4 linked regions of the Danio rerio genome follow. The protein of the gene in region 2 purifies or fractionates together with the protein of the main gene of each other region. This does not show direct contact. Links are inferred from orthologs where the notes say so. Each region holds a gene or a part of one and is shown on either strand. Other genes may lie near its edges. The genes, in order: nup107, sec13, mios and sec23a.

Region 1 (7,932 bases), on a different chromosome or scaffold from region 2:
ATTTAATATATCTTCAAAACACAATGAAGATTGTTGTTATCAAAACTGAGAGAGTTGTTTCTACATTAAAAGCTTATTCATTTAAATCTAAAGGCAATTTTAGTACACATCTGAGTTTTTATAGATGGCACATCTGTAGATGACATCAAATAATCAAAATGCCAGTTCAGTCATTGCTAAATGATGGGCCAAGGAGATTTATATGAGTTTAGAACAGCATAAGCGTGAAGATGATTATTTTAGGTGAACTGCCAATGAAATCACTTGCTGTAAATGTAACTACATTTATATATTGTAAATTATCAGTAATTTTAAAGAAACATTGTAGTTATTTGAAATGACCATGGGTATAGTTTTAGCATGCTTTATTATGTTTTTTTATTTATGAATATTGAATTAGCTAGAAGTTAAAAATACTTCAGACTCTTTAAAATACTACTATTTTTATTATTATTTATCCAGTGGTCATAATCAACTGAAAGTCAAGGACATTTACCAGTCAGATACAGTGAACTGTCTGTGTGTGTGTTCAGGGGGTGGTGAGCTTCAGCCTGTGGAGGGAAATCCTCATCGCAGCGTCTGGAAGGTTTGCTGCTGGAGAATGGCAGAAGAGGTGAGAAAACTATAGATCTGAGGTCTAAATCCATGCGCTAGAAAGTTTGGGAAATTTTAGTTGAGGGAAAAGAAAATCCTAAATATAGTAAATTTGGTTGTGAGCTGGTCAAACTTTATGGTCATGTAATATATTTATTATGGTTTACTTTTTGGTAACAGTATTTTGGAAAAGGCTGTACAAATATATTTGAATAAAGTTTAAAACATCACTCTGCTGCTCAATACATAAAAGGGTTTATAGCATAAGCATATTAGTTCGAAAAGAAAATATAAAAATATTCATTAAATCCTCTTTACATAATGTCTATAAATATTTCAGTTAAGAGTCTGCTTTATGTTGCTGTTTCAGGAGCAGTTCAACAAATATGAAAGGGCTATCTATGCTGCGTTGAGCGGAAACCTCAAACAGGTAAATAGTCATATTTTTAACTCATATTTACACCATTTCCTCTTGCTTTAGTCATTATTTGATCATGTGCTTGTGTCCTGCAGCTGTTGCCGGTGTGTGAGTCCTGGGAAGACACAGTATGGGCTTATTTCCGGGTGATGGTGGACACTCTGGTCGAGCAGGAGATCTGTTCTTCTGGTCTGGGCAGTGAAGAGCTGGAGGAGCTGCCCAGAGACTTCCTGGAGACCAAGTAGGACTACAGTGACTTTCTAATATGCATTCTCTCCTTTTATATCCTTTTTCACCTAATGATTAATTCTTTTTATTATTTAGTTGGACGCTGGAGAAAGTCTTTGAAGAGATTCAAGCAACAGAGTCCAAGGTAAGAATAAATGAATGAGGTTTAATATGTAACAATGTTTAGACAACAACAATGTAGCTTTTTGATAAAATGTACATGACAACATTTTTTAATGATCTGTGTTTACACCAATCCACAAAACTTTAAAAAAGCACTATATTATCAATGGCAGGCCAGTGTTTCAAGCTGTCACCTTGATAGTAAACAGTATTTGTAAGTAAGGGATGGTGTGCTTTCTGCTAGTTTGCTGTGTGTTCAAGATGAATCTCAACATTTGGTTCTAATGTGAAGTAAATCCACACTTTGCTGATGAAGTTTTAGCAAATACTTAAGCACCAACTACAGTACCACAAACTTTGTCATTGTTGTGTTTGTTTGTGCTGTGCTTTAATCTACACTCACCCAAACATAATGGCATCACTTTCAAAGACTTAGTTTATTCACTGCCCCAAAAAAGAGGGTATTTTTTTAAAAACTTGAAAAATGTATGCCTTTTCAGACCCAAAAACAACATTGTCATGTAATCAAACAGGCAAAACGTCTAAAAAGTTTTCACCTCCGTGAAGATGGCACCCATAATAAAAAATAATCCCCAAAACTATACCATTCGTTTGTGCTGATTTGTGTCGCAAAAAAGAAAATTTGTGCCGGTTTGGGGTCTGAGATATTAAGCATTATTTTTTTGACTGTGTGACGTCACTTTCCACCCCATGTTGCTCAAATGACTTCAAATCAGCACAGGTCGTTTGTACTCAATTTGTGCTTTTTTTTGCCCTTAAAGCAAACTCTATATCTGTTTTCCTCGTTTAGATAAGAGCAAAATATTTGGGGAGCCATGACGTCACTCTCCACCCCATTTCCTCTTATTCGCACCAAACCGGTGTCATTCGTTTGTGCCTGGTTTGTGCCGTTAAGCAAACACTTTATCTATTTTCATTGTTTACATATAACCAAAATATATTTATATTTATATTCGTGCATGAATTGATTATTTTCGTTTCCTCACAATTTGTGCTCGTTTGTACTGCAAAAAAATATTATTTGTAGGCCTAAAAATAATACTAGATCATCCAGAGGTGTCTCGACTCTAGTTGCTCCATATTTACCAAAATAGTCTCGTTTGTGTGTGTTTTATTTGTACTGGATTGTACCTATGAATGTGTCGTTAGTGCTGCTTCTATTAGTAAAATATTGAATTAAAGACAATGACATCACCAGCCACCCCACATGTATGATATTCTAAAATATTTTAATTTGTTTGTGCTGATATAATTTTTGTTTGTGGTGCTTTATTTTTAGATATTAAAATAGTCTAGGCCAATATAAGTTATTCTGAAATCTTTTTTTATCAGAAAAAGCACCTTTGCTGATTTGTCATTTGAGCAATACGGGGTGGAAAGTGATGTCACACGGTCAAAAAAATAATGCTTAATATTTTTGCGGCACAATTCAGCACAAACGAATGGCATAGTTTTGGTGATTATTTGTTTTTATGGGGTGATAACTTCACAGATGTAAAGTTTTCAATTTTTGATTGGTAATGTCATGTAAAGAGGGAAATTGGTGTTTATTTTCTGATCCTTCACAAATGTTTTGTTGACAGAGAGTTCTGGACGCAACCAAGGAGCACTACCATGTGATTCAGAAGTTTGTGATTCTTGGAGATCTTGATGGTATGTTTCAGAAAATTTTTATTTTGAGACTCTTTTTTTTATTTATTATTTAACAAAGAAATAACATCCTCTTAATTTATCTAAAGGTCTTCTTGAGGAGTTCAGTGATTGGTTGGGAAGAAATACACCTTTGCCAGCCCATCTCTTACGCTTCATGTCACATTTAGTGTTGTTTTATCGCAGTTTGGGCATGCAGCTTAAGGTACATACAAACGCATATATATTTTTAAAAACCATGTCTTATTAATTACCACTGAGTGAGTAAAATGTTCACGTTTGTTTTAAACTCATCAGGAGGAGGTGTGTGTAGATGTCCTGAAGGCCTACATCTCGCTGTTGGTGAAGGAAAAGCAGGTGGAGCTCATTGCGTTTTACGTCAGTCACCTTCCTGCAGATTTGGCTGTGTCACAATATGCTCAGTTCCTGGAGGAAGTCACTGAGACTGAGCAGCGCAAACACTGTCTGGAGCTCGCAACACAAGCAGGCAGGTTTATTTTGCACTAAAGAGTCCTCTTGCATTACATACTTAATACACCAATGGTTATAATGTCACCAATTTTTTTGTGGTATTTAGGTTTGGAAGTGGCAGCAATCACAAAAACGGTAGTGGAAACCATCAGAGAGAGAGACACAGATGAATTTTCCCACCATGACCTGACGCCTGCACTGGACACGGCAACTACAGTGGTACTAATGATGAACTCTTCATTTATGAAAACTTGTTTACCACAGGTTTGATGGAAAAATATTAGTTTACTTTTTTATTTAAAATTTCACATTAATCCATACGATTTTGGATTTTAAAATAAGATTTTGGAGATGTAAACATGTTTAATGTTAAATTGTAGTTTTGTGTTTTTTTAAAATTGCAACATTAAACATGTTTACATCTCCGCAGATATTATACTACAAAATCAATATAAATACAGTGGTAAAATATAAATATTTTATTTTTCCATCCTTGCAGTCTTTCTTGAATTTTCTTCTCCTTCTATTATAGCTCCTTCCATTATAACTTGTTAACTAATTAGCCTCTATTAACTGATAAATGACTACTGAAAGAATGTAATACTCCTACAACTAAAAAGCTTTATGTACATGCTTTACTGGCATGATATTTAGTACAGTATTGCCAAAGCATTTTAGATATGTATAAAATAAGTAAGTTATTCACATTATCAAATTAATAACATACAACAAATTTGAAATAAATGACAGGAAAAATGAATAAAAACAGACATATCTCTAAAATGGATATTTATTAATGATTAGAAAAGAAAGTTTAGATTTTATTAAATAGGGTAAATTAGTTTATTGACCATTTCTAATGGTGTACATATATTTTACAGGCAGTTTAAATGTCATTTTATTCTCTTTGAGCATATAGTAATATATATAAATTTTTATCGTTTAAAGAATCTGTTATTTACTTTTTCTTTCTGTCTCGCCGCAGTGCACGCTGTCAGCTGCGAAGCCAAACGGAAAGTAGTCTTTATTAAAAGAATAATACAAAAATGCAACAACTTAAGAAAGCGAAAGTAAAAGTTGACTCCTGGATATTATAGGAGATTTACAAACACTGGCTGGAGTCGCCAGATGCAATTTTAAACCTCAAATAGGCATCTCTCTGTTGGTCTCTGCAGAGCATGTGAGACTGTGTTGTTGACAGTTTTCTCGCGCACACACAATAAGCAGTATGAAATGTGTTGGGTGAGAGAAGATTTTCCACTAGTTAATCAAACAGATTAATGGATGCGAAAAAAGTGTAAAAGGATGATAATATTATTTAAAAAAAAATAAAAAACGGTCCTCCAATATACTTGGACGGCCGTTAATATACCTAGGCAGTAGTAAAGTCGCCCAAGTAAAATCTATGTGTGGAAAGCACTGGATTTATTGATGTTAGTTAAGTAAAATTAGCTTACAAAAAAAAACTAATAAACTCATTATGTATAGCTCATTTATTAGTTAAGGTTAGCCATTGCAGTAGGTGTTGCTATTCAACTTTTCCTCTCTGTACAGGAGGATCAGCAGAAGATTGATGTGATTGACTGGTTGGTGTTTGATCCTGCTCAACGAGCTGAAGCACTTAAACAGAGCAACGCCATCATGAGGAAGTTCTTAGGTGAGACTTTCCTAGCCAGAATAGTATATCAAAATCTATTAATGTTGTAATTGGTCATTTTATATATCATCAACTGCCTCCTCTTTAAAAATTAGTTACAGTCTCACACACAATTTCACTGAAACACTGATAAGTTGTACAAGCTCATTTGTAGGTTGTGTAAAAAATGGCTAATGGTAGCACTAAATAAACTAGACTTTCACAAACATTATAAAAATGTATTTCAGATCCTCTCACTTTGTAACAAATCCATATTAATCCTTTAAAGAATTTTAGCATTTACATTTCTCTACTTTTATCCAGAGTACCTTGCAAATGAGAATCAATAGAAGCCATTTGTAAACAGACCAGTTTGTAAGTTTAAGTCTGCTGTAAACAGCAGATATAAACAAATTTAAAGGAAAACTAAAATAGAGAAATAGAAATCTTCATTGATTCGCATGCATACATCACACATTGAATGTTTGTTTCTTTTTAACACACAGCAGATAGATTAGATCAGTTCTTTGATTTGCAGTGTTGTTCTATTATACTCATGTACAATACAGCATCTAAGAAGCATGACGCTGCTAAGATGGTCTTCGCCAAAGTGCCCGAAGACTCCATGCGTGAGATCTACCGGCAGTGGGAGGAGCAGGGTATGGACACACCACTTCCTGCAGAAGAGGAGAATGCCATTCGTGAACATCTATGCATTCGTGCTTATCTGGTGAGTAGTGCTGTTGTACAATGAATTGACCTAAAGTCAAATCAAGGAACTTTTCTGCTGTACAATGTCTGCAGCAGACGCAGCGATATTTTGCAACACCTAAAAATAGTTACCTGCTACGTAAATGGATGACATCAATGTGTAATATCAGTGCGCCTGCATCAGCCATGATATGGCAGGAAAGTTTCTTGATTATTACGCTAGAATGAGAGTATGCTTCATAACCTTATCAACCTAAAACGTAGCAATTTTTAATCCCTGTCCGTCTTTGTACATGATGCAACTACAGAAGTGTCAAGCTTTAAATGGGAAAATTATTAAAACTTTTTTTATTTTAAATTTTGAGCAAAATGCTAATGGCCTAATCTGCCTCAGTGATTTATGCTAAGCTAAGCTAAAGGGCTCCTGTGAGACCCGGAGATTGAATTAATAGATTAAAATGTTAAAAATGTTTACCTCTACGGGGGTTTCAAAATGAGCCTATTTGTTAAAAAGTGGAGTGTTTCTTCAAGTGTCATTTAAATATGTTGTGGACTAATTTATAAAAGATGATAATGTTTATATGGTGGGTAACAACAACAATTCGAAAGCAAGGGTTTACAGATGCCAATGCAAGCATGTTTCAGTTGTCAAAGGATCCAGGATCCACACTGTTCTTGTACCAATAAATGAGTTGACATTTTAACCCCAGTTTAGTATAGAGGCACTGATAGGTGAGAGCTAGCTAATGTTACCACTACATATCTATGTTCCCTGTATAATATAACAATAGTTCATTATTGTTTAGGTAACATTAGCTCAAAGGGTGTAATGCAGGGATGTCAAACTCAATTCCAGGAGGGCCGCAGTTCTTCACAGTTTAGTTCCAACCCTAATTAAACACACCTGATCAAACTAATTGAGTCCTTCAGGCTTGTTTGAAAACTACTGGTAAGTGTGTTGGAGCAGAGTTAGAACTAAACAGTGCAGTGCTGCGGCCCTCCAGGAATTGAGTTTGACATCCCTGGTGTAATTGTTCACTAAATTGACGGTTCAGTTTGATACAACACAAAGTGGTGACTCAGTGTTTTCAATACAGCAAATAGAAAGAAATGTCCTTGATCTTTACTACTTTATTTACTAAAACTAACATCATAAATACAATCTTGTCTTGACTTTGAACAGGGATGGAGCTATACTTGGCCCATCTTCTGTGGTGTCATCTTAGCATTGAAAACAAAAACTGATGCTTATAAAAATGGAAATTAATCAAATTTAAATATAAAAAAATAATTCAATTGCCCTTTCCCTTAAGATGCCAGAAATCATTGTTACAAGCACAACGTTTTAGCTTTTGGATCTTTCAGTGTTTTTCCAAACCTATTTCAGAGCCCAATGCATCTGATAATCCACTGTCATTGGCTCATCTGTGGTTGAGGGGAGGTGTTTGGCGATAGCTCAGTTGCCTGTCACTATAATGAATGCACTTTAAGTGGGAAGATCTTTCTTCTTTTTTACAGGAAGCACACGAAGCGTTTAACGAGTGGTTCAAGCACATGAACTGTCCTCCGGTGAAGCCCACAGCTCCTGCTCAAGCCAAGTTTACAGAGAAAGTGGCTCATGAGATGAAAGAGGCTGAGTACAAGGTCAGGACGGGACATCCACACACCGCAGACTGAACACATCTGGCTTTGATCTGTAATAGTGTTTCTGTGTCACGTTCCTCCAGATAGAGCTGGAGAACTGGCAGGGGCGTCTAGGAGCTCTCACTGAAGATGTGAAGGAGAGGATCTATAATGTGCTGCTGTTTGTAGACGGAGGCTGGATGGTGGATGTCAGAGAGGTGAGCTTAAATGTATTATAAGCTTAAATGTATTCAGTTTTAGACCTTTTGTACAACGCAAAATTACCCATTATGCTTCGTGTATGCATATGAAGGATGCTTTGAACTTCTGGTCGCCAGCTGATGCGTATAAAAAGTCACATTTGAACTGCATTGAAAAGAAAAAATAGTTTTAGTTTTGAACTAATACTGCTGTCGGTCAACTCCACCTCCTGGACTGATTATTAAAAAAAAAAAAG
Region 2 (7,932 bases):
TCTATTGTTTTTATTTCTCTTATGTTTGCAGGTGGGAAAATAACTGTATATGCAGTTGAAGTGAGAAATACTAGCCCTCCTGAATATTAGCAACTCTCTTCTCCCGTTTTCTGTTTAATGGAAAGAAGATTTCTGAACTGATTTATTTTATCTTTGTCATGATGACAGCACATAATATTTGACTAGATATTTTTCAAAATACAAGCATTCAGATTCAAAGTGCGATTTAAAGGCTTAATTAGTGTAATTAGGCAAGTTATTGTATAACAGTAGTTTCTTCTGCAGACAATCAAAAAATATATAGCTTAAGGGGGCTAATATTATAGACTTTAAAATGGGTTTCAAAATATTTAAACCTGCTTTTATTCTAGCCAAAATAAAAAAGCCTTTCACCAGGAGAAAAAAGTATTAGAGGAAATACGGTTAAATTCCAGTTAAACATCATTTGGAAAATATTTATTTAAAAAAAAATTACCAGGAGCGCTAATTATTTTGACTTAAACAGTAATGGTTTTGAATAATCGTGATTACAATTGTGACCAAAATAATCGTGATTATGATTTTTCCCAAAATCGAGCAGCCCTAGATACAGTATTATAGTGCTATTGTGCGATTATATTGCTATTTATTACCTGTTTTCAACTTTAAATTATGTCCTCAAAGGAAAATATCTGTTTTATCAGTTTATCTCACTAAAGTTTTGTTCATGCAGTGCAAAATGGGATTGTTAGGTGGACAAACTCATAAATAGTGTATGCACCTTTTTGCAATGCCACTTTATTTATTGTACTATTTTACTGTGTGCTAAAGATGACCCAACTCACCTGAAAAAAAAAAAAAAAAAAACAGGTTCAAAAAAACTCAACACCACCAGTGGTTCCCAACCTTTTTCTTTGGGGCTCCCCCCATGAACATATACAAACATTGGAGCCCCCCCACCATATAAATACACACGCACGCACACACATATGTACTGTGTATATATATATATATATATATATATATATATATATATATATATATATATATATATATATATATGTATGTGTGTGTGTGTGTTTGTGTAATATTAATATATAGTAATATGTATAGAAAATATTAATTAATCAGTTTTAACTTGTCTTGGCCTTCAATAAAACCAAAATCTAGGTAGGCTTTGTCATACTGTCTAATCTTTTTCTTCGCCTCTGAATAATCACTGCATTTACGTTTGTCTGCCATTTTTGTTTTGATTTTGCCTTCACGACACGTTGACAAGCAGATTGCGCGAGTGAGCAAAATTTAAATAATTATTTAAAGTTATTTATTTTAATTATTTTCACTATTATGTTGGAATTTTAAGCATGTGTTTAGATTTTTTTTTTGGTACTTAAAAATACATATATAATAGTAGGGCTGCTCGATTTTGGGAAAAATCATAATCACGATTATTTTGGTCATAATTGTAATCACGATTATTCAAAACCATTGCCAGTTAAAGTCAAAATTTTTAGCGCTCCTGAGATTTTTTTTTTTTTTTTTAAATATTTCCCAAATTATGTTTAACAGAGCAAGGAATTTTAACAGTATTTCCTATAATATTTTTTCTTCTATTTGTTTTATTTTAGCTAGATTAAAGAAAGGTTTAAATATTTTGAAACCAATTTAAGGTCAATATTATTAGCCCCCTTAAGCAAAATATATTTTTGATTGTCTGCAGAATAAACTACCGTTATAATGACTTGCCTTATTACTCTAATTAAGCCTTTGAACTGCACTTTAATCTGAATGCTTGTATTTTGAAAAATATCTAATAAAATATTATGTGCTGTCAATATAGCAAAGACAAAAAGAAATCAGTAATTAGAAATGAGACTATTATGTTCAGAAATAAGTTAATAAAATATTCTTTCCATGAAACAGAAATTGGGCAGGAAAAGGTTTGCTAATATTCAAGAGGGCTAATAATTCTGACTTCAACTGTATAACAACAGTTTAACAAACGAAACTAATTATTTAAAGGCTAATTTATGTCTGTGCGGTAAGGTTTCCTTATCCACGAGAGCAAAAGTGAAAGTGAACTTACTTTACGTCATGTTAATAGCAATGCGCTAATGGTGCGACGCAGCTGGCTCTTAAAGGTAATGGAAGATGAGACTCTGATTGGTTTATTCTCAAAACACACCTATAACTCATTAAGAAAATAAACTCAACCCTTTTAGACCATGCGCCATGGCGCAAAGCGGATTTTCCCGTCCTTAAGTTAGCAAAAATGCGTTCTGACATGCCCTGAAAGCGTTTGCGCCCTGCGTTTTGCGCTCTGCGCATGGACAGTCAAAATAGAGCCCTTTATTTCAAAATAGCCACTAGCAAGAAATCTAGCATATTGTATTGCTTCCTCTGTATATAATAGTGATTTTTTTTTTAATAGTTGGCTTATCTGCAACCTACACACTAGCCATTATTTTTATTAGAAGCAGACATGCATGTCAGACAAGCATTAATGAGCAGTAAATGCATTGTTTTAAGGGGAGATTTTACAGAGGATTCAAGATTTTTGGATAAAGGGATCATCCCTTTTGAGTTTTAAAGCCTCTCGTTTTGTACATCAGTGCTAAGAAAGCCAGTTTCTACAAATAAATGTGTTATGTTTTAAGAAAAATCATGTAACCTGTAAATGAAAAAAAAATCCATTGCACTTCTGTAAAATATTACTTTGTTGACTAGCCTAAAAACTCTCATGATTGTGAACATAAACGTTTTGTGCACTATATGGGCATTTTTGCTAAATTGATGCTTTCCATTAGTCATTTTTCTTTCAATTCGCAGTTTGTGTAATTTAATTAGAAATGGAAAGGCACATACTGACTGAGACAGACATTCATCATGCTGTTGGTTAAATCAAACACTTTGCTCTTCCACAGTCAATTCGGTTTGCTGGGGCCCATACGACTTTGGCCTGATTCTGGCCTGCGGTAGCTCAGACGGGGCCATCTCAGTGTTAACCTGTTCTGGAGACGGACACTGGGATATTAAGAAGATCAACAATGCACACACTGTAAGTTTTGCCTTTGAGTTTACAACATCCTAATATTTACATGTCCAGGGCTCTAAGAAATACTGTTTGGTTATTTAAAGGGCCATGAAACCCCCTCTTTTCAGCAGGGTGTTTTTACACCTCTATTTTGGAAAAAGTCAGAAAAGTGGGCGTGTCCAGCTTTGTTTAGGGGGGAGTGTCGGAGGAAGAAAAGAGGCTTGGTGTGGGAGTGTATTTGGGCGCGCTGAATTTCAGAATCAAAACACACACCCACAGCGGACAATGTAACTGTGTTTACATGGACATCTGTAGTCGAATTATTTGCCAAATGATTAAATGGTGGACTTTAACTGCTGTTTGGCTCTTTCATTAAGGGAATTCATTCATGTCCCTCACGACAAATGAGATATTTGATTCAAGGAACTGCTCTAAGTGTGTATTTTTATGCAATGTTTGATACCGCATTGATACGGCGAATGAGAGAAAAAAACCCTCCGCATTTCCCGGAAACTTAGATGCACTCGGCAGGTAGCGTCAGAAAGCCGCGTGTGCTATTCCGGTCACAAAATCCTGCACGAGGTTATGGTTTGGTTGTAGTGCTAACTTGTTTACACTCGGTGCAATAGTTTGGTCGATACGAATAAAATACGAACTGAATAAACAAAGAGCACTGGTCGCTCACTTACCAAATCTGTAAAGACAGGACAATCACCAGCAACTAGAGCCGCGTCTTTATTAAGAGGAGACTACAAGCGAATCCGGATCTCAGCGTTTGCAGATGAGAACAGCTCTCAGGTAAACAATAATCCTCCTTAGACACGTAAGTTATTGTTGTCGAGCGTTGCGTACACTGTAATCTACGCGTGACTCCAGCTGCGCTCTCACAGAGAGAAAATGAAAACAAAACTTAACGGCAGCAAACTATAAAAGCAACACTTCACGCTTGTTTTGCCAACACAACGTGGCGTCTCTGTCATCTAAACACTGTGACAGTAATAAATATTAATGAAGCTGCACAATAGAGCGCGCTGATTGGTTTGAACCAAGCTTTACTCATGCATTAATGCAGCAGGCTGTAAGACGTAATAAGACACACTCTGGCACAGACGCCCAGTCTGCACGCTGGAATACACGCTATTATGTCATGACCGTGACGCAGCTTCAAAAATTCGTTTCAAACCGGAAGTACAAATTTGCTTGAAATAACGCAAAAACAACCAATTTACACTTTTTAGTGAAATATATGTGTCCTAATAGTGTTTATAGCAGTGTGGGACACATATACGACTGTCAACCAATGACTGTAAAAAATATGGACGACGCGACAGCCCCTTTTCCCATTGAACGCCTTGAGGGCAAAACGCCTGCTTGACGGGCACAAACTGTCGCAACAGACTGCTGAAATTGGAGCCTTGACATGCGCAGAAGGACTGTCTGATGGAGCCAGAGGAGGAGCCGCGAAAATGAGCGGAGTCGAGCTTCTAACCAAACGCTTTATGTTAAATCACCCACGCCCCCCGAACTTCTCACTCGACTGCCGGTGTGTGCACTATAACAAACGCTCACTGATGTAAATAGAAGCACTTACATTAAAAAAACACAATAATATACGGTTTAAAAACGGTGTGATGTAAGCTGTTAAACTTTAATAAAAGCAATACATGGTGGACTGCAGAAATGAACGATCTTTTATACACTCTAGCCTGAATATGAGCACAAATAATATATTCTCTTATTGTTATGTTTGTTGTTGGTATTTGTTATCTTCATAGGGGTAGAAATAACACTTGTAAAATATGAACAATAACATATAAACAACACATACATTTTTAGAAAGGTTTTTATTTTTAATTAGCCATCAACAGAACCCAAAATATAGCCTACACACCATAACGATTTACCATGCGGGAACAATCGTGCGTTTAGAAGATAAATACAACAAGATTACTAAATATTAACAGGATATTTACACATCCCAACCCTGCAATTTGTCAATTTGTGCAAAAAAACTTTGCACTATTAATCCAATGTCTATCTGCTGCAACATCACTAGTATATTGTTTATTCATTTTCGCTTGAATTGTTTATTTATTTAATTTTTTGCCTCCGTTTTCATTTGGTTTATTCGATGCCTTCATTATATCTGGCAACGAGGAATTTACAATAATTTTAATGTTAGCTGGAGTGTTCAAATAAAACGCCAACAGTAAATGATGTAAATAAATAATATCTAACATTTACAGCTCTATTAGGTTATATAAGATTCGATTTCAAGAACCTTATAATGATTTATAACAGCAAATTCAGTAGATTACTTAATAACATGCCAAAACTTAAAATGCAGAGACGTCCTGTAAAGCAAGTTCAAATAACCTTACACAGGAGATCAACGTGGAGATTATTATTTTAGACACATAAAGAGAATTACTGCTAACGATCTCCTGTATTTTCCCCGTACTTAAATGGGTTTATTTTATTGTGCAGTTTTATTGTCATTTTCGTATTTCTTAATTCTTGTGCACTACAAAATGTATTCAATTGTATTATTATTTAATACTTGTGCAATCGATACAGGTTTATTGTTATTTATTTTGTCCTTTATTTAAATAATTGCTATGTATGCTGTTTGCATCTTTATTCAAAGGTTAAACTCAGTGATACACTTTGCGTTCACATAGTAGCATGCGTTTGTTGTTATATCAACAAAAATGGTTGTAATAACGTTAACAAATGTGAGGGTTTTATATAATGAAGATTCAATCGCGCCAGCTCCGGGCAGCAGCGCACATAACCTACTCGCGGCGTCGCGGGCTGATTCCGGCTCGCATGCGGCAGCGCCTGCTCGCTCGGCCCCCGCATCTGGCTCAATTGACTCAAGCTGGAATCGGGCAGTGAGTCCAGGCATCCGGAGTAGGTCCAGCAGAGGTAGTCAGTCTGAGGGGTAAGTCTCCGGCAGGCAACAACTGGCCCCAGTGTATTTTGCTATCTGGGGGGTTAGGCGTGTATTAGCAAACTAATAAAGCCCGAAAAAAGCTCTGACCTTAGCGAATAAACAGTGTTCCACCAGATCATGTATGTCAGAAACTGTAGTTTACTGCTGAACTCATTTTGTCATAGTAAAATATCACAGAAATCGAGTAATAACACTTCAGTCTTCTGCCGAAGCTCAGACGCCGCGCTTTGAGAAACTGTCAATCACAGCTGTCAATCACGATGACACGCCCAGCATTAAATTACTGCTAAAAACAAACTGTTTACAAAAATGAGGATCTGCACCTATTTCAGCACAATAACCAGAGCTTTAATCGACCAGAACCATCTTTAGGGACATTTTATTGCAAGTGTAATTAATTTTTTTATTTGGGCTCAAGGCTCCTTCATTAACACGGAGGAGGCGGGCTTTATGACTTGTACTGCAGCCAGCCCCCAGGGGGCGATCTAACAGCCGAGACCTTCACTCAAACGCAGGCTTGCGGCACACTTGCTGTCAACAGCTTAAAAAAATGTGTTTTGGTGTTTCGTGACCCTTTAAAAAGATGTTTAATTAATGGTCAATTTCATCTGCTGCAGTTCAAGCCGGGCATCAGAATGGCAAAGAAAGGTGATTTAAGTTATTTTGAATGTGGCATGGTTGTTGGTGCCAGACGGTCTGGTCTGAGTATTTCAGAAACTGCTGATCCACTGGAATTTTCATGCACAATCATCTCTAGGGTTTACAGAGAATGGTCCGAAAAAAAGAAAATATCCAGTGAGCGGCAGGTCTGTGAGTGCAAATGCCTTGTTGATGCCAGAGGTCAGAGGAGAATGGCCAGACTGGTTCAAGCTGATAGAAAGGCAACAGTAACTCAAATAAGCTCTTTTTACAACCGAGGCTTGCAGAAGAGAATCACTGAGCGCACAACCTCTTGCACTTGAGGCGGATGGGCTACAGCAGTAGTTGCAGCAGGTTGCCTGGTCTGACAATTCTTAATTTCTTCTGCGACATGCATTGAATTTGGTATCAACAACAGGAAAGCATAGATCCATCCTGCCTTATATCAACGGTTCAGGATGGCGGCGGCGGTGGTGGTGGTGGTGGTGGTGTAATGATGTGGGAGATATTTTCTTGGCACACTTTTGGCCCTTTAGTACCAATTCAAGCAATGCCACAGCTTACTTGAGTATTGTTGCTGACGATGTCCATCCCTTTATGACCACAGTGTACCCATCTTCTGAAGGCTACTTCCAGCAGGATAACGCGCCATGTCATAAAGCGCAAATCATCTCAGACTGGTCTTTTGAACAAGACAATGAGTTTACTGTGCTCAAATGGCCTCCACAGTCACCAGATTTCAATCCAATAGAGCACCATTGGTCTATCTATATATCTATATATCTATCTTTCTATCTATTAGAGATGCACCGATACTGTTACACCTATACCATAAAACTGTTTTTATAGTTCTGGTGATTGCTCAAATAATAAATCTTATTTAAAAATAGCAGACGGGCTTACTGTATATGACATGGCACAATCTAACTAAAAACAGGATGCTTGCTGTAAACTAGGCTACATTATTTAAGCATTTGATTTAACATTGATCTATTGTGGTCCAGCTTTTGTTTCTTTTTTAATATTTAGATTTTTCTTTAAAATCTGTAAAAGGCTACCACTTTTAACTCTAATCGTTGGTAAAATAATCAGCCTTTTAGCAAAGCCTGATATTTTCCAAAAGCTAATTTGTGCTAATTCAATAAGTCTTCTAAAGACTCAAAACAAGATTCCTAAAACAATTTCACACAAGATATTTTCTAAAAAATAATTTTACAGGTATAAAATAAACAAACTACATAGATTGCTACATATTTTTTTGATATGCTATAATTAATTTAAACATTCTTTTTTTTTTCTTATTTACCACATGTACCTAGACATT
Region 3 (7,932 bases), on a different chromosome or scaffold from region 2:
GCAACATGTTAAAACACAGTGGTTTATCAAAAAAAAAAAAATTTAAAAGTATTTTATGATGGTACTAGTGTGTTAATTTATGCTAACAATGTATAACAACATGCTTCCAGTATATTATATTGAGGAAGCTGTGACAAATTGTGTTTAAACAGCATGTTAACAATATGTGAAAAGTTACTACTAAGCACATTCTCATCCTGCGTTCACACCAGACGCGGAACACATGTCACGCGCAAGTGATTTACATGTTAAGTCAATGCAAACATGCGAATAAACATCCTGTGGCACGATTCGCGCGAGTGGCGCGATACAGGCGAATTGAATATTTTAAGTGTTTGATCGCTGGAGTTTGAAAATCTGAACTTCAGCGGACATTCGCGCCACGTTAACCAATCAGCAACTTGCTCTTATGGGGGCGTGATTGTGACGTATCGCCTGTTGTTGGTGTCCCAGGGGAAATCCTCCAGCCGACACTGACAAAAAGTTAATCAAACTGGGCTCGGCTCAGTCAGAAGCACCGCTGAAAGCCTCCATCATCCAGGTTAAGTTTCTGGAGGAGTTTATGAGCTCACAGAGCTGGATGCACCTCTGAAAGGATCTAGTGGACTTAGACACGGCCCTGCAGTTATCGACACTGTTTTTCAGCCTTCATAAAGCACATAAACACTGTTATTTTCTTCATAAAATCCATGTTAGCCATTTAGTAACAAAGCTAGTCACCGGGCAGATAGAAGCCCTGCCCATCAAGCGAATCCACATCTATTCTGAAGTGAATTTGACGTGCAAATGAAGCGGGGTTTGACGCGCGAATGAAGCAAGTAAACTCAAATGTTCACGTGGCTATTTATGCACGAACATCGCGATTTATCCGCGCGTTTCGCATCTGGTGTAAACACAGCATAAGAATTAGTAGCAACATAGAAGCGTTTTTAAACATGTTAGAAACATGCTAAAACAGTGATTTGTTACAAATCTGATTAAAAATGAGCTAATGTGTTATATCATGGTATTAATGTGTTAATTCATGTTAAAAAACATGTCAGCATTTTCATTTAGCATAACGTGAAGTTAGAAACACTTTTAATGCATTAAACCCATTTTTTGCAGCCATGGTAAATAATGCTAGCACGCTATGCATACAACAGCGACAGTTTCAAACATACGAGCAATGTGTTAAAACCTCAAAAGCATAAGCAAACAAAGCACCAAATCATTGTAGCTAAATCAATGTGTTATCTTTATTTTTAAAATAAAAAGTTTACTGACCCCCAAACGCAGCATCATTGTATTTATCATGGTATTAATGTGTAAATTCATGTTAAAAAAACATGTTAGCATTATCATTTAGCATTATGTGAAGTTAGAAACACTATCGATGCATTAAATCCATGCTAGGAATGGTAAATGATGCTAACATGCTATGCGTTTAAACACTAGTGTCATATTCAAACATATTAGCAATGTGTTAAAATGTGCTAAATCATAGCAGCTAAATCTAAGTGTTATCTTTATTTTAAAAATAAAACATTTACTGTCCCCCAAATGCAGCATCATTGCATTGTATATGAATATGGCTCTTACCTGAACCAGCTAAGCATATGACCCGCATGGCCACCATGCCGGCAGTTGTGACACCAGGTAAACCAGTTATTAAACTGCGCTAGTTTTTTGTCTCGTGTAAGATCAGCTTTCTCGTCTGCTTTTCCTGTGCCTGATATGATGAAATAAGTGAAATTCAGAAATTAATATTATATTATTGTAGATATGATATTACTATAGTACATTATAGTATCAAACAGAAGTTTAAATGATCCATCAGTCACCTGGGCAGCTGGAAACAGGGGTGCCCATGTTCATTAAGCAGAGGGCACAGCGTGGGAGTGGTTTACGACAGCCCGGGCAACTGGTGACCTTTGACTTGGTGGGTGACCCGCTGACCCCGTACTGACTGAACCCACGGCCCTGATGTGGCATCGCTGAGCAGCTGTATGATATAGACTTCCCACAGAAATTGCAGCTGACAAACACCTGCACAGATGCAAGAGAATGACAATAAATGGAACAAAAGTCAACAGAAATTGATCAGGATAGGATATAAAATTAATAAATCTTTCTTGTGCATCAAATCAGGATATGAGAATGATTTCTGAATTATAATATCAATGTAGACTGTCGAAGTATTATGTGATGATGCTGAAAATTCAGCTTTGCATTAAGAGATACATTCATTAATTCTCCTTCGGCTTAGTCCCTTTATTCATTAGGGGTCCACCAACTTATCCAGAATATGTTCTACCCAGCGGATGCCATTCCAGCTGCAACCCAGTACTGGGAAATACCCATACACGCTCATTCACACACATACACTATGACCAAGTTAGTTTATTCAATTCACCTATAGCGTATGTGTTTGGACTGTGGGGGAAACCAGAGCACCCAGAGGAAACCCACACCAACACGAGAACATGCAAACTCCACACAGAAATGCCAGCTGACCCAGCCAGCACTCTGAGCCACCATGCCGCCCAGCTGCATTCATATATATATATTCAAATAGAAAACTTAAATACAGTATTACTGCTTTACTGTAAATGTGCTCAAATAAATTAAAAAGAATTTTAAAATTTACTCATTCATTCATTCATTCATTCATTTTCATGTCGGCTTAGTCCCTTTATTAATCTGGCGTCGTCACAGCGCAATGAACCGCCAGCAAGTTTTTACGCAGCGGATGCCCTTCCATCCGCAACCCATCTCTGGGAAACATCCACACACACTCATACACTACGGACAATTCGGCCTACCCAATTCACCTGTACCACATGTCTTTGGACAGTGGGGGAAACTGGAGCACCCGGAGGAAACCGAGGCTCGAACCAGCGACCTTCTTGCTGTGAGGCGAACGTGCTACCCACTGCGACATTTAAAAATTATATAAACAAAAATCTTATAAACTAGAAATTACAGATGAATTGATATTGCTATTAGACCGATAATAATTATCCGTCAAGCCATCTTTAAGGGTCACACTTGACTCAAAACTGAACGTAGCCTTAAAATTAAACTTCTCCGGAAAATTATTACAATAAATTTTTGCTCAGTTGTATATTTGTGTTTTTGTTTTATTTGATTTAGAATTTTGAGCAGATTTTAAGATACTATTTGGAATACTTCTACAATTTACAGTAATAAAATGATTAACCCTACTGTGAATTTTGTATGTTTTTTCAAATATTTTTCAGGGTATATGCAGGAATCGTAAAGGTAATTTCAATACCTTTTTAAAGACCTTCTCAGAATATTTTAAGACCCCATCGCACCTCAAGTTCTAGTAAGTATCAAACGTTTAATTTAATAAACAGTTGTTAATAAACATTTGTAGTTAAATATATCACTGGAGCCCAACCATGCAACAGAACTCAGATGAGCTTTGAAGAATAAATTATGTGGTTGTTTTCAGCGACAGGCTTCAGCTACTGTTTAAACCCATCTTTCTCCAACCAGGAGAATGCAAACTTACATTTTTCCATTTTGCCATCTACTTGCATAGTTTCGCTACATGTGGAGAGCATTACATCACCTTCCCGCGTTTGTCGCAAATTACGTGACATCACCCGGATGAAGGAGTTTGGCCGGACGCGCCCCGGCCTGAACCAATCATGTGGATCAAGCATGCTGTTGTTAATATTAGTAGGAAAATAAATATATTTCTGCTTTTTTTGGAGTCAAACACTTTGGACAATGCTTGAACAAAATTTAAGACCTCGTTAGAACACGATTAGGACCTTAATAACTTTAAAGGGCTCAATTTTACTCATGATTGATTTATCAACCCAATAGGCCAGTCATTTTCATTCGGCGGCCATGTTTGAAATGCCTCTCAGGCAGTATGCTTGGGCATTCTGTTTGAATTGGGAAACATCAAATTCTCCAAACTGCTTGCCAAGCTTACGATAGAATTTCATATTAGAAATCATCAATAGAATTAAACAACAATCGTCTCTTTAGTTTCATTTCTAAACATTCGAATCAGACATAATTTGCAGAAACTCACATCTGGCTCAAGCCCCTCCCCCAGAGAATCATCAGTTTTTAGCGATCAATGATTGGCTCCTGTACTAGAAGGCGGGGCTTCATTCGCTATATTGACCGATACATTTTTCCTCAATCAAATTTATATGAGTGACGTGTCTTGTGTATTCTATAGTCTTTAAATTGCCAAACATTAAGCATAATAATTTTAATAACTGAAGGAGGCTAATAAGACAGAAAAATCTAATGTCATAACCAGTAAATTAAAATGTAATTTAATTTAACATATGCATACAAACACATGCACACATAAATATATGTAGCATTTTTAAGGCCTTTATTAAAGTAAGAATAGTGCCATCTGGAGGTTTTTTACTACCCACCAAGTGTCATGCCATTCATTTTTGATCAAATAACCCATTATATATATCAAAAACAAATTTGGGCAGTGTTTATATCTGCCGTATGCACTTGAAACAACTATCAGAAAGAAACATGATGCTAACCTGTGCAAGTGGTTTTGAGCTGGGATCCAATTTGCTTCTATGAATGTCAAATTCAGCCCGTTTATGCCAGAACCTCCAGGCGTCCAACAGGTTACGATAGTTCTCGATCCAACACTGCACCCGAGGGTCCTTCAGCACCTCTCCTGGGGAACCCTAAAACACAACAAACTTATTATTCTGTTGATGTACAGGTCAACTTTTTGAGCAATGTTGTCAGGCAGAATGATGTTGATTGGCTACTTTTCCATTTAGAATGACCAACAATATTGTATTTGTAACCCATTGCCCTGATAAGTTATTCTGTGTCTCCTGGTTGCCCATTTATGACATTTTTTCCCATAAGGTTTTTTGCCCAATAGCATTGCTCAAAAAGGTTGCCCTGTCTATCATCAGCATTAGAATGATTTTTGAAAGATCACTCCCAAAAAAGATCCACCTATATACATAAAAAAAAGGGAATTGCCTGAAATATACGACAGAGAGGTAGATTATAATTAGGGGTGTCACGATTTCGATTTTTAATCGAAATCAATCGAAATTTATGCTCAATTTCGATTATCGAATCAAAAATAGAATCGTCGATGCTGCCACGCCCCCATGTCACGTTAGCTTGGCTTGCCAAGCGTGAAAAAACAGGCTTGTTGAAGGGCTTGGTAAACTGCAGACGCAGGAGACCCGTCGACAGAGCTTAAATCCTCTCCTCTTTCAATGAAGTCGCCGGTGTGTAAGTATTTTGGATGTCCAGTTAGTTATGTTGACAACGTTCGTGTTGTCGTCAAAAAAAAACACAGTTTGCAAGCTCTGCTATGTACGTATTACGTTTGGGATGATAGACGATGGGCGCATCGCGATCCTCCGCCCCGCACCCGTTGCAAATCCGCTTGCGAAAAAAACACACTCAGGCCCTGTTTACACTAATATGTCTTTGTTTTTAAATGGCATTTTAGAACGACAACGATCCACATCCACAGTGTCGTGTAGCATTTCTGAGCAGCCCTCCTTACTCACTACCGCTGAAAACGCACATCACGTGACCACACACACTCATTCACACACAGATAGGACGCACACACATTGTCATGCGCTCGAGACAGCGGGTCAAGGAAGTCAGCGAGTCAGTAGATTGCTTCCATCTTTTACTTTCACACAAGTACTTAGTCATTTTAGCGAACACCTCAGATACTGTTGGCTGGTTCCTGTTGGTTGTGCGTCTTTTTTACCGACGCCATTATAACGACACAGATCACTGCCTATTCACGAGTCCCGCAGAAAAAAGTGATTGACAGGTGGTAATTATGTGTGTATCTTGCCTTTATTCATTTACTGTATGATTTGTTTATGGGTAAAACAAAGACCATGCAAGTCAGGTAGTTTAAAAGGTAGGCTACTAATAATTAATTCGTTATTAATTAATTAATTATTCATAATCGAAAATCGAATCGAATCGTGACTTTAGAATCAAAAATGTAATCGAATCGCGGATTTGGAGGATCGTGACACCCTTAATTATAATAAAAACAATAATAGTGATATACTATATTATATTAGGTGCAAAGTCAGAATTAAAAGAGCTTGTTTTCCTGCTTGTGTCATTTATTTTGGCTGCGGAATCCTTCTTTAACCGATAGATAATGAGAATGATGAATTGTCCAGTGGTAGAAAGAGTAATGGCTCACTTTTCATAAGATTTCCTGTTAACTCTCAGACCTCTGATTTTCACTTTTTTATTTCAGGAATAAGTTACATTTTACAATATGTTCAAATAGACAAATACATTTTCTGCTTTTACTGGAATAAAAGCTTTCTTGCTAAAAGTTTAAATAACATTAAAATCATCAGTGACCACAAACTTCTGAAAACAAGTGTATATTATAATACAAAACATAAATAGACTAAACCTAGAGCAGATAATTTATTTTCATGTAACTTTTTCCTCATGTAGTGTTTCTGGACATGCGCTGACCTTAAGCATGCAGAAGCTGGCTGTCTGTACATCTCCCGTTCGGTCTACGTAACTCTCCATGAGGTCGACTCCGTCTTTGGTCAGTCCTGTTAGCAGGATTCCCTCCAGGTTACCAGCCTCCTTCATCTCATTGGTCAGTTTGTCTATGTAACGAGGCAACTTCAGGGAAAGAAAAAAGTACAGTGCATTACATACTGCACAGTGATTTGATGAAAGTATGAGTGAACGGGTCTTACCTGAGCATCATTTAGAAACATGCACGCAAAGGCCACTCTGTCCCTGACCGCCACACGACTCTCATACTGCAAAACAGAAAACCACATCATATTACTTTTTCACCTGACGAAGGCAACATACTGACAAACTAATCAATCTTATTATGAAATTTATGCTAAATAATGTTAACATCATGCTAAAATCATGCTAGCAATGTGAAACATCATGGAAGAAACATCCTACCAACAAAACAACAGGATAGCAATGCAAAATCATGATTGGCATTATTAAAAAGCATGCTAAAATAAATTATTCTAACATTGTTATAAATCGTGCTAAAACATGCTAGCAACATTCTAGAATCTAAACCATTTTAACAACATGCAAGCAATGCTAAATTAAGATTAGCAAAAAATAAATAAAAATGCTAAAATACTACCAACATGGTAAACCGTACTAAATACCAAATGCACATGGTGCTAAGTCAAAGCAGAAACATATTGGCAACATGTTAAATCCTGCTATCAATGTTAATTCATGTTAACATGTTAAAACCATACTAGCAATGTGCAAAAGCATTTTGCTAAATCATGTTAAAACAAGCCAGAAACATGCCAAGCACTGCTTTGAACTTTCTAAATCATCTTAAAAACATGCTAAATCATGTTAGTAATGTGTTAAATTATAATAGAAAAATGCTACAAACATGCTAAAACCTTCAATCTAGTGTGTATCATTTAATTTTTCAGAAACATGCCAAGCACTGATATTAACTTGCAAGAAATATCTTAACAACATGCTAAAAGACATCCAAGCAATGGGCTACATTATGACAGAAAAATGCTACAAGCATGCTAAAACCTTCAATCTAGTGTGTATCATTTAATTAATTACAGAAACATGCCAAGCACTGCTAATAACATGAAAACTTCTCAAAAACATGCTAAAAGACATGTTAGCAATGTGCTAAATTATGATAGAAAAATGCTACAAACATGCTAAAACCTTCAACCTAGTGTATATCATTTAATTATTACTAAAAACATCCCAAGCACAACTATTAACTTTGCAAAATCATCTTAAAACATGCTAAAAACGTTAGCAATGTTCTAAATTATAATAGAAAAATGCTAGACATTTTAAACCTTCAACCTAGTGGATATCATTTCATTATTCCAGAAAAATACTAATCATTGCTATGAACTTGCAAAATCA
Region 4 (7,932 bases), on a different chromosome or scaffold from region 2:
AGAACATTTGATTGTTGACTCTAAATCAATCCTTACTTCAGCCCTACTTCATTTCACTGTGAAGTCATTTACAAACAAAGCACAATTCAGCACTTGATTTTTAGTAAGACTGAAACCACAAGATAGTGCTTGATGTGCCAACTATATTCACCTTAATCTCCATATATGAGCGGTCGCAGCCATTTGAATCTTTTGAATCATTAAAAACAGCTTGTTTCACTGCTTGATGTTGCAAATTGATTTTTTTTATTATATATTCTAGTTTGTCTGTGTAATCATGCAAACACATCTTAGTAGAGCTAGCAGTTTGACCGTTTTCTGCCCATTATTGTTTCTAGTCATTTCTCCCATAGGCAACTTAATCAGAAGTTCTAAAACAATCGCAAAAACGTGCACACTTCCAACAAGGTCAATTGGATGCAACAGTACCAAATGTTGCACCCCCCAAATATAATTAACTGTAATTTATTACATATTCACCATTTCTTTTTCTGTTTAAATAGTTTATACTTAGTATTTTAGGGCTATATTTAACCTAAATCAAAGCTGTGTCCATTAATAAAAGATGTAAGCTGTCACATGCAAAAAGTTTACATCGTGGGCACACAGCGGTCCTTTAAAGCCAGTCATACCTAGGGTTGGGTATTGTTTGGGGTTATTTCGATACTGGTGCTAAATTGACTTTTAAAACGTTACCGGTGCCTGAACTGATACTTTTGAGGCACACAATTAAGGTGGATGACTCTAGAAAAATGTTTTATTTTTACAAAAAAATTAAATGTAAAACTTTTTCCTGACCATCTATATAGTTTGGTTGTGTAGACCTGCATTTGCCTCTCATTTTTTAGTTCTACAGCATGAATCAGTGGGCGGAGTTTAGACATACTGTTACATAATCAATTGGCAGATTCCACAGTCTGTCATGTTGCCAGACTGGCAGAAAGTTTTGAGCTCTAAAACTTGCAGGATGCTTTTATGGTAACTGTAAAAAGGGTGTTTTGATTTTCTCAGTTTATGTCCGCTGGGTAAATAATCACTACCTTAACATGTAGCACTACAGTAAATGCACAGCAAATTTACTAAACATTTTCTTCAATTTACAGTGCCAGAAGTTTGGAGATTATCATAAAGAAGATCCCAACTCTTTCCGTTTCTCCGAGACGTTCTCGCTGTATCCTCAGGTACACTTTTGTCTCTCACTCTGAGACTGCACTGAATCTCACTCTAAAGCAGTGTGAAAATGAGGTGTTGATGTTGTTTTTGGCAGTTTATGTTCCATCTGAGGAGGTCGCCGTTCCTGCAAGTGTTCAACAACAGTCCTGATGAAAGCACCTATTACAGGCATCAATTCATGAGGCAGGACCTGACCCAGTCTCTGATAATGGTACAGCCCATTCTGTATGCTTACTCCTTCAACGGACCGCCAGAGGTAAGCATGCAAACCTTCCAACACATTTATGGTTTGCGGGATTTGACTGACTGTTGAGGGTTTCCATTAAAGTGTCAGCTAACCTAGTAATGATCATTCTGTTAGATACTCACCCTCATGTCCAAACCATACCTGTCAACCCTCCCGTTTTTCCTGGGATTCTCCCGTATTTTACAGTTCTATCCCGCTATCATCCTGTAAAGGTATTTTCCCGTATTTCTCCCATATTTTCTGTCTTTCTCTGAAGGGTGACTAATAAACATTTAAAGAGTCAAGCCTTCCTATTGACCTTATTCTAAAATGCGGAAGTGCGCCTGTTTTTGCGATTGTCTTAGAACTTCCGATTCAGTCTCCTATGGGAGAAATGACCAGGAATAATAAACGGCAGAAAATGGCCAAACTACTTGCTCAACAAACAAATGTTTGCATGACTACACAGACCAAGTAGCATAATATAATAAGAAAATATTAAATTGCAACATCAAGCAGCGTAACGAGCAGTTGTTAACGTCAAAAAATGAATGGAAGTGAATGTGACCGGAAGTCGCGAGACAAAAGATTCAAATGGCAGCGCCCACTCGTCAGCTGAGAATAAGGTGAATACGCAATCCCATACCGCCGAACCATTAGGGGCCGCCCCTTGCTCTTAAATGTGAGTCTTTTCTGTGCTTTCACTTTGTTTAGGCATGAAAACACTTTGAAATAAACATAAAAACTCGGGCGAATAGCAGCGCCGCATTTGATTTGAGTTGAATATGAATCACTTCGGGATTTTGTCTGAAACAGGTATGACTGTACAGACATCTTTATGATCAGTGCATGCATGATCATAGGGATAACCAGATAAACAATAATTCTTGGCTAGAAATTGCAACAGCAGTGGGAAAGGAGGAGAGTTTTTGTAAGCGTTTAGAAAAACTTGAGGTATAGGGATAAGTTTGTTAAAACCAACAAGAGAGGCCATGCAAAAGTGGAGACCCAGGGGGTTTTAATATTACAGAATATGTTTTGCCACCATTCATAGGTTTTACACTGATGTATATATTACAATTTTGAATTTAAAACAATGTAATAGTTACAAACTAAAATTAAGTAACAACAAATTATTTCTTTAATAACTGGAAAGGAATATTTGAACCTGTCTGTTTACAATATACTAATGCCCTATTTCTAAGCTGTATTGGTGATAATGGTCAGCAATGTTAGACCATTATTCCCTTTTTAGCTTTAAAAAATCTTGAATGGCTATAAAAATATTTATAATCATTATAATAAATTATAAAAAAAAATAACTAGTTAACCTTGAATGTTATTAATGATATGACTTGGTTACCGAAACTTCCTACTTCTGTTTATTCGTCTGACTTTGTGGTGAGTTTCTTTTGACCGCCTGTCGTTTTAAAGAGCCTCGTTCGTTTCATGAGGTACACGTGCAGCCAGCAGAGGTTCAGTGGTGCATCCAACCTGTCTTCAGTACTGTTTAATTTAAATACATTTATTTTGTCACTAAATTTGTGATTTTTTTTTTCTCTTCATTTTCTCTTTATGTGTATGTGTGTTTTTAATATTGTAATATAGGACGTAAACTTAGGGCTCTATTGTGACGGTCCATGCGCAGAGCGCAAAACGCAGGGGTCAAACGCTTTCAGGGCGTGTCAGAACGCATTTTTGCTAATTTACGGACGGGAAAACCTGCTTTGCGCCAAGGCGCATGGGCTAAAAGGGTTGAGTTTATTTTCTTAATGAGTTATAGGTGTGTTTTGAGAATAAACCAATTAGAGTCTCATCTCCCATTCCCTTTAAGAGCCAGCTGCGTCGTGCCAAGAGCGCATTCGCTATTTACAGGACGCAAAGTAAGTCTAAGTGGAAAAACTGAGCATTTCACAAGCAAACAGTTAACAGTTTTTTAACAGAAAACTGTTAAACAGGGCATCTACTGCGTGAGAATGAGAGATAATGGATCTACTTTCAGTTTCGCTCTTGGATAGGGAAAATATTTGTTTCAAAACTATTTCTAAATTCAGTTCTAATTTCTAGCAAACAAATAAATGAACAATAATGACCAAGTGTGGTCAAAATACTGAGTTATTTCCAAATACACCTGCCATGCCCCATATGGTCTAAAACCTGACAGGTGGGCAAATCTAAGCTTGTTTTTAATAAAACAAATATAAATATGGATATAATAAATAATACTGCTAATAATAATAACATTATACAAAAGCAAATTGTTATGAATGAACTTCATCTCGGGAGGTTTATCAGAAGACATAAAAGCAGTGATTTTTCATATTTATGTAGGCTAGAAAATAATATGTTTTGTAATATTTTAATCATTTATATTTATATTCTATATCTATTCTTATTATATACTATATATATCCTTAATATTTAATTTTTTCATATGTAAAGATATTTGCCTATTGCTCTCTTGTGCGTATTAAGCAGTGCGTAAGCGAGGCGCAACTCTGCGCCGGAGTTTAGACCGGGTTACTTTCGGTCTAATGAAAAATCTATTATAGTTTCTCAAAATAGCAACGCGCCAGCGGTCCGCCTCAGAACGCCTCCCTTTTTAGACCAGAACGCCTATTGGCGCACAAATGAGCGCTAATGCATTTGCTATTTAAACAGCGTAGCGCAACGCCTCAAAACGACTCTTGCGCCAAGCTGAAACTACCAAAAGACTACTGCGCCGCGCCTTGCGCCACACTGCGCCGAGTGGATGATAGGGTCCTTAGTACTTAATGGTCTTATATTTGACATTATGATATCTGCAGAAACCCTGTGTTGGTGCAGATGTTCATAAGCAGTTCTTTTGTTTATTGTTTTTGGAGTACTTAAACAAGACAATTCCAACTATGCTTGAATGTGTTTTATAATAAATGCTGGAAAGTTTTGTTAATAGTGGGGCAAGAGCTCTCTCAAATGACTTTTTATTTAAAAGATTTTTGAATGCATCAAATAAAAGACAGGTAATAAATGTCAAATCATGGAAAATTATGTTAATGGAAGGGAAAGAGTTGAGTTAAATGACTAAACTTTTTTTCTAATGCCGTTGGAAGCATTATCAAACGTCAAAAACATTCCATTAACATCAAGTGTTAATAAGTATTCACAGTACATCATGTGCCATGACATGTGACATTGAATCTAAAGTGCCTTGTCATGATAACTGTGCACATGATGTCCCCTGAGTCAACAGATTAAAATGTACGTTTAATTAGTGCGCTGTGATCTTATTACCATTCAAAGCTCAGACTATCACTGGCTGTTATTGTTTTTAAACCTATTTTACTAAAAGGCCTGAAAGTTGCACGTATTTTCTCACACATTTTGTGAGGGTAAAAACTACTTCATTAATAGGTTGTAGAAACTTCTTTAGTTTAGTAGAGTGAATTAAACATCATCAAGATGATGATACAACAAGCAACTCACACTGACTTGTATTATTCTAATCTGCTTTAATGGAGGGCTCAGTGTTTTTCCCCTGACGCTGAGACCAGAAGCAGCTGAGCTTTCAGGAAAGATGTTTATCAAAGCATCTAATTGAGAGTGACAGTCCAGTAAATGCTTTTGTTTCTTGTTGTTGTAGCCTGTGTTGCTGGACAGCAGCAGTATCTTGCCCGACCGCATCCTCCTCATGGACACTTTCTTCCAGATTCTGATTTACCACGGAGAGGTAAGATTGAGGAGGAGAAACAGCACGCGTCCTGCTTTCCTGCTGTGATTTATTTCCCCGGTGACTAGATAGACGTTGGTTTAGCGCCAAGTCTTTTTCATGTTTTCAATAATTAAGAATACAGTCTGCTTTCTCAGTCCCGCTATGAGAACGGTTCAATAATCTGTGCGCATGAAATCCAAGCCAGTAAACTGAAGCAAGTTTAAACTTGGCTGCGTTTCAGAGGACGGACGTTTTCTGATGAAACACTTGTAGGTGTCTCGCTGAAGTACATGCTAATGAAGTGAAATTTGAAACAAATGCAGTGAGATGTTCCCATAGTCACAGCTCAGCAAACACACTTGCACCAGTAAACAAGACGAGTGTTCAGATTTGGCTTGTTGTTGTTGTGTGAGTTGTGACAGATGCACTGTGTTTTCCCCTCATGTAGACTGTGTCTCAGTGGCGTAAAGCCGGGTACCAGGACATGCCCGAGTATGAGAACTTCCGCCACCTGCTTCAGGCTCCAGTCGATGATGCTCAGGAGCTTCTACACACTCGTTTCCCCATGCCACGCTACATCGACACTGAGCACGGCGGCAGTCAGGTACAAACAACATTAAATCATGCCACAGGAAATGTACAGCTGAAGTCAAAGTTATTAGCCCTTGTGTGATTTTCTTTTTTTTTTTTCAAATATTTCCCAGATGATGTTTAACAGAGCAAGGAAATTTTCACAGTATTTCCTATAATATTTTTTCTTCTGGAGAAAGTCTTAATTGTTTTATTTCGGCTTGAGTAAAAGCAGTTTTTAATTTTTAAACACCATTTTAAGGATAAAATTATTAGTCCCTTTAAGCTCTTTTTTCTTTCCCATTATCTAACAACTTGCCTAATGACTAGGGATGTAACGGTATCAGAATTTCACGGTACGATAATACCTCGTTATAAACGGCACGGTACGGTATTTATTGAATAATTTACAGGAAAAACAAAACTAATGAAAAGACTCGAAAAAAGTGCCAAAAGTGTTTATTTACCTTAGCACTGAACATATTAATGACATACAAATTTATCTATCTGTATTTATCCATCCATCTATCTGTAAGTTTCGAAACAGGAACTTCAATTTTTCAATTTTAATAACAAAAAACTAATAAACCATATAAAAAAAATAAAGTTTCAATTTAGTATTGTTGAAAACTCGTCACATTCAACATTTAATCACTCACTCACTTAGATAGAGATGGGTTTTTTAAGGAATTATCATATAACTATAATCTGGTAAAAGCTGGGATCTCTGGGCATGTCCCCTGCAACAGAAAAAAGCCCTCTCATTTGGGACTGAAGTTTCTGGGACAGAGAGATATGATTTAGCCAAGGTTGACAGCAGTGGGTAACGTTGTGCATTGTCTTTCCACCACTTGAGAGGACAAGCCATGAGTGAGATAGAGGTCTCTTTACGGTACAAGTCAATGTCTGCATCAATCTAACAAGTGTGCTGTGTTCTGCAGTCCCCATGACTGTTTTTAGTCGTATTTCCCGACTTATATTTCACCACAGTTTGGCAGTGCCTGCATACCGTTTTTGTCTTTGTCTGTCACCTTTTCTCCTTTTTCGTATCTTTTTAGAAAGAAACCGAAATGCTTCCACACATCCGATTTAAAACCCGCTTTAGGTTCGATCATTTCCAGCTCTTTTTCTTTCACGCTACTAGCAGCACACTCCATTTCCGCATTACTGGATCTGTAGTGACAACAGACCGCAAAGGATGATGGCCACGCCTAGGCTGATGGGAATTGTAGTTCCCGCTACCTCCCATTCGCTTCATTTGCCTAAGCAAACTTTTCTCAGAAATCTAGTTTTATTGAGTCATGCGACTACGGTAATATTGAAAAAAATTACTATTGCGGTATGATGGTATTTACAATATTGTTACATCCCTACTAATTACCATAACCTGGGGTGCTTAATTTAGACTAAAATAAAAGAAAGGCTAGAATTTATAATTTTTTAAAAAACATTTTAAGTTCAATATTATTAGCCCCCTTAAGCAGTATTTTTATTCAATAGTCTACTGAACAAACAATCATTATACAGTGACTTGCCTAATTACCCCAACTTGCCTAATTAACCTAGTTAAGCCTTTTACTGTCACTTTAAGCTGAATACAAGTGTCTTGAAAAATAGCTAGTCAAATATTATGTACTGTCATCAAGGCAAATATAAAAGAAATCAGTTATTAGAAATTAATTATTAAAACCAAATACTGCTGGCAGAAACAAAACAAGTCAAAACTGAACTATAATAAGCTCGCAACCTACTTAGCTATATTGGCAATTTGGTCAGTGACCCTTTATGCCACCTAATATAGGCTAGTCCAGCCTGAAATGTAAGTTTGTTCATGGGGCAGATGATGTCAGATTTTTGTTGCTGACTTGAAATATGTCATTTGTTCACAATACTGATCCATCCACAGAGTTTGTAATATAGTCATATGTTTCCAAATAAAAGTGCAGCTGTTTAGAGGCCATTTCTGGTTAATGGTGTCAGAATTTTCCGGTATTTCGCTTTTTTGAGGTCATTCTGGTAATTTTCAGTATATTTACCGGTATTACTATGTGAAAGGGGCTAATGATGCCATGGGAGAGAGAACTTGTAAACGGCAGTGAAGCAACGCAAGTAAAACCGTAAAAACTATACAAATTCCCAATTAGTATAATAACCCATTATTTACTCAAGCCTCGTATAGAATAATTATCATATGTAAGGTTGAATATTCAATGTTCAGAAAACAGCAATCCAAACTTAAAATATATATTAGAAAGCCTAATTGGATGTAAGA

Evidence for each region.
Region 1: the proteins of sec13 (region 2) and nup107 purify together in Homo sapiens (affinity purification with mass spectrometry; 8 studies listed by BioGRID and IntAct, counting the BioPlex papers as one, with this or other methods). This does not show direct contact. The link is inferred for Danio rerio from reciprocal best matches to the Homo sapiens genes SEC13 and NUP107.
Region 3: the proteins of sec13 (region 2) and mios purify together in Homo sapiens (affinity purification with mass spectrometry; 5 studies listed by BioGRID and IntAct, counting the BioPlex papers as one, with this or other methods). This does not show direct contact. The link is inferred for Danio rerio from reciprocal best matches to the Homo sapiens genes SEC13 and MIOS.
Region 4: the proteins of sec13 (region 2) and sec23a fractionate together in Homo sapiens (co-fractionation; 3 studies listed by BioGRID and IntAct, with this or other methods). This does not show direct contact. The link is inferred for Danio rerio from reciprocal best matches to the Homo sapiens genes SEC13 and SEC23A.

The regions. Positions count from the first base shown.
Region 1 is NC_133179.1:23,334,514-23,342,445, reverse strand, and holds part of nup107 (nuclear pore complex protein Nup107), read left to right. Parts: intron 1-533; coding exon 534-613; intron 614-964; coding exon 965-1,024; intron 1,025-1,107; coding exon 1,108-1,253; intron 1,254-1,336; coding exon 1,337-1,385; intron 1,386-2,967; coding exon 2,968-3,037; intron 3,038-3,123; coding exon 3,124-3,239; intron 3,240-3,331; coding exon 3,332-3,521; intron 3,522-3,611; coding exon 3,612-3,724; intron 3,725-5,059; coding exon 5,060-5,162; intron 5,163-5,710; coding exon 5,711-5,871; intron 5,872-7,370; coding exon 7,371-7,496; intron 7,497-7,579; coding exon 7,580-7,693; intron 7,694-7,932. UniProt on the Homo sapiens protein: Plays a role in the nuclear pore complex (NPC) assembly and/or maintenance. Required for the assembly of peripheral proteins into the NPC. May anchor NUP62 to the NPC. Involved in nephrogenesis.
Region 2 is NC_133197.1:32,950,636-32,958,567, forward strand, and holds part of sec13 (protein SEC13 homolog), read left to right. Parts: intron 1-2,903; coding exon 2,904-3,037; intron 3,038-7,932. UniProt on the Homo sapiens protein: Functions as a component of the nuclear pore complex (NPC) and the COPII coat. At the endoplasmic reticulum, SEC13 is involved in the biogenesis of COPII-coated vesicles.
Region 3 is NC_133191.1:51,757,286-51,765,217, forward strand, and holds part of mios (GATOR2 complex protein MIOS), read right to left. Parts: intron 6,804-7,932; coding exon 6,738-6,803; intron 6,661-6,737; coding exon 6,502-6,660; intron 4,692-6,501; coding exon 4,539-4,691; intron 2,029-4,538; coding exon 1,824-2,028; intron 1,712-1,823; coding exon 1,582-1,711; intron 1-1,581. UniProt on the Homo sapiens protein: As a component of the GATOR2 complex, functions as an activator of the amino acid-sensing branch of the mTORC1 signaling pathway. The GATOR2 complex indirectly activates mTORC1 through the inhibition of the GATOR1 subcomplex.
Region 4 is NC_133192.1:11,320,283-11,328,214, forward strand, and holds part of sec23a (protein transport protein Sec23A), read left to right. Parts: intron 1-1,103; coding exon 1,104-1,181; intron 1,182-1,267; coding exon 1,268-1,429; intron 1,430-5,021; coding exon 5,022-5,108; intron 5,109-5,538; coding exon 5,539-5,694; exon of another isoform or gene 5,695-7,600; intron 7,601-7,932.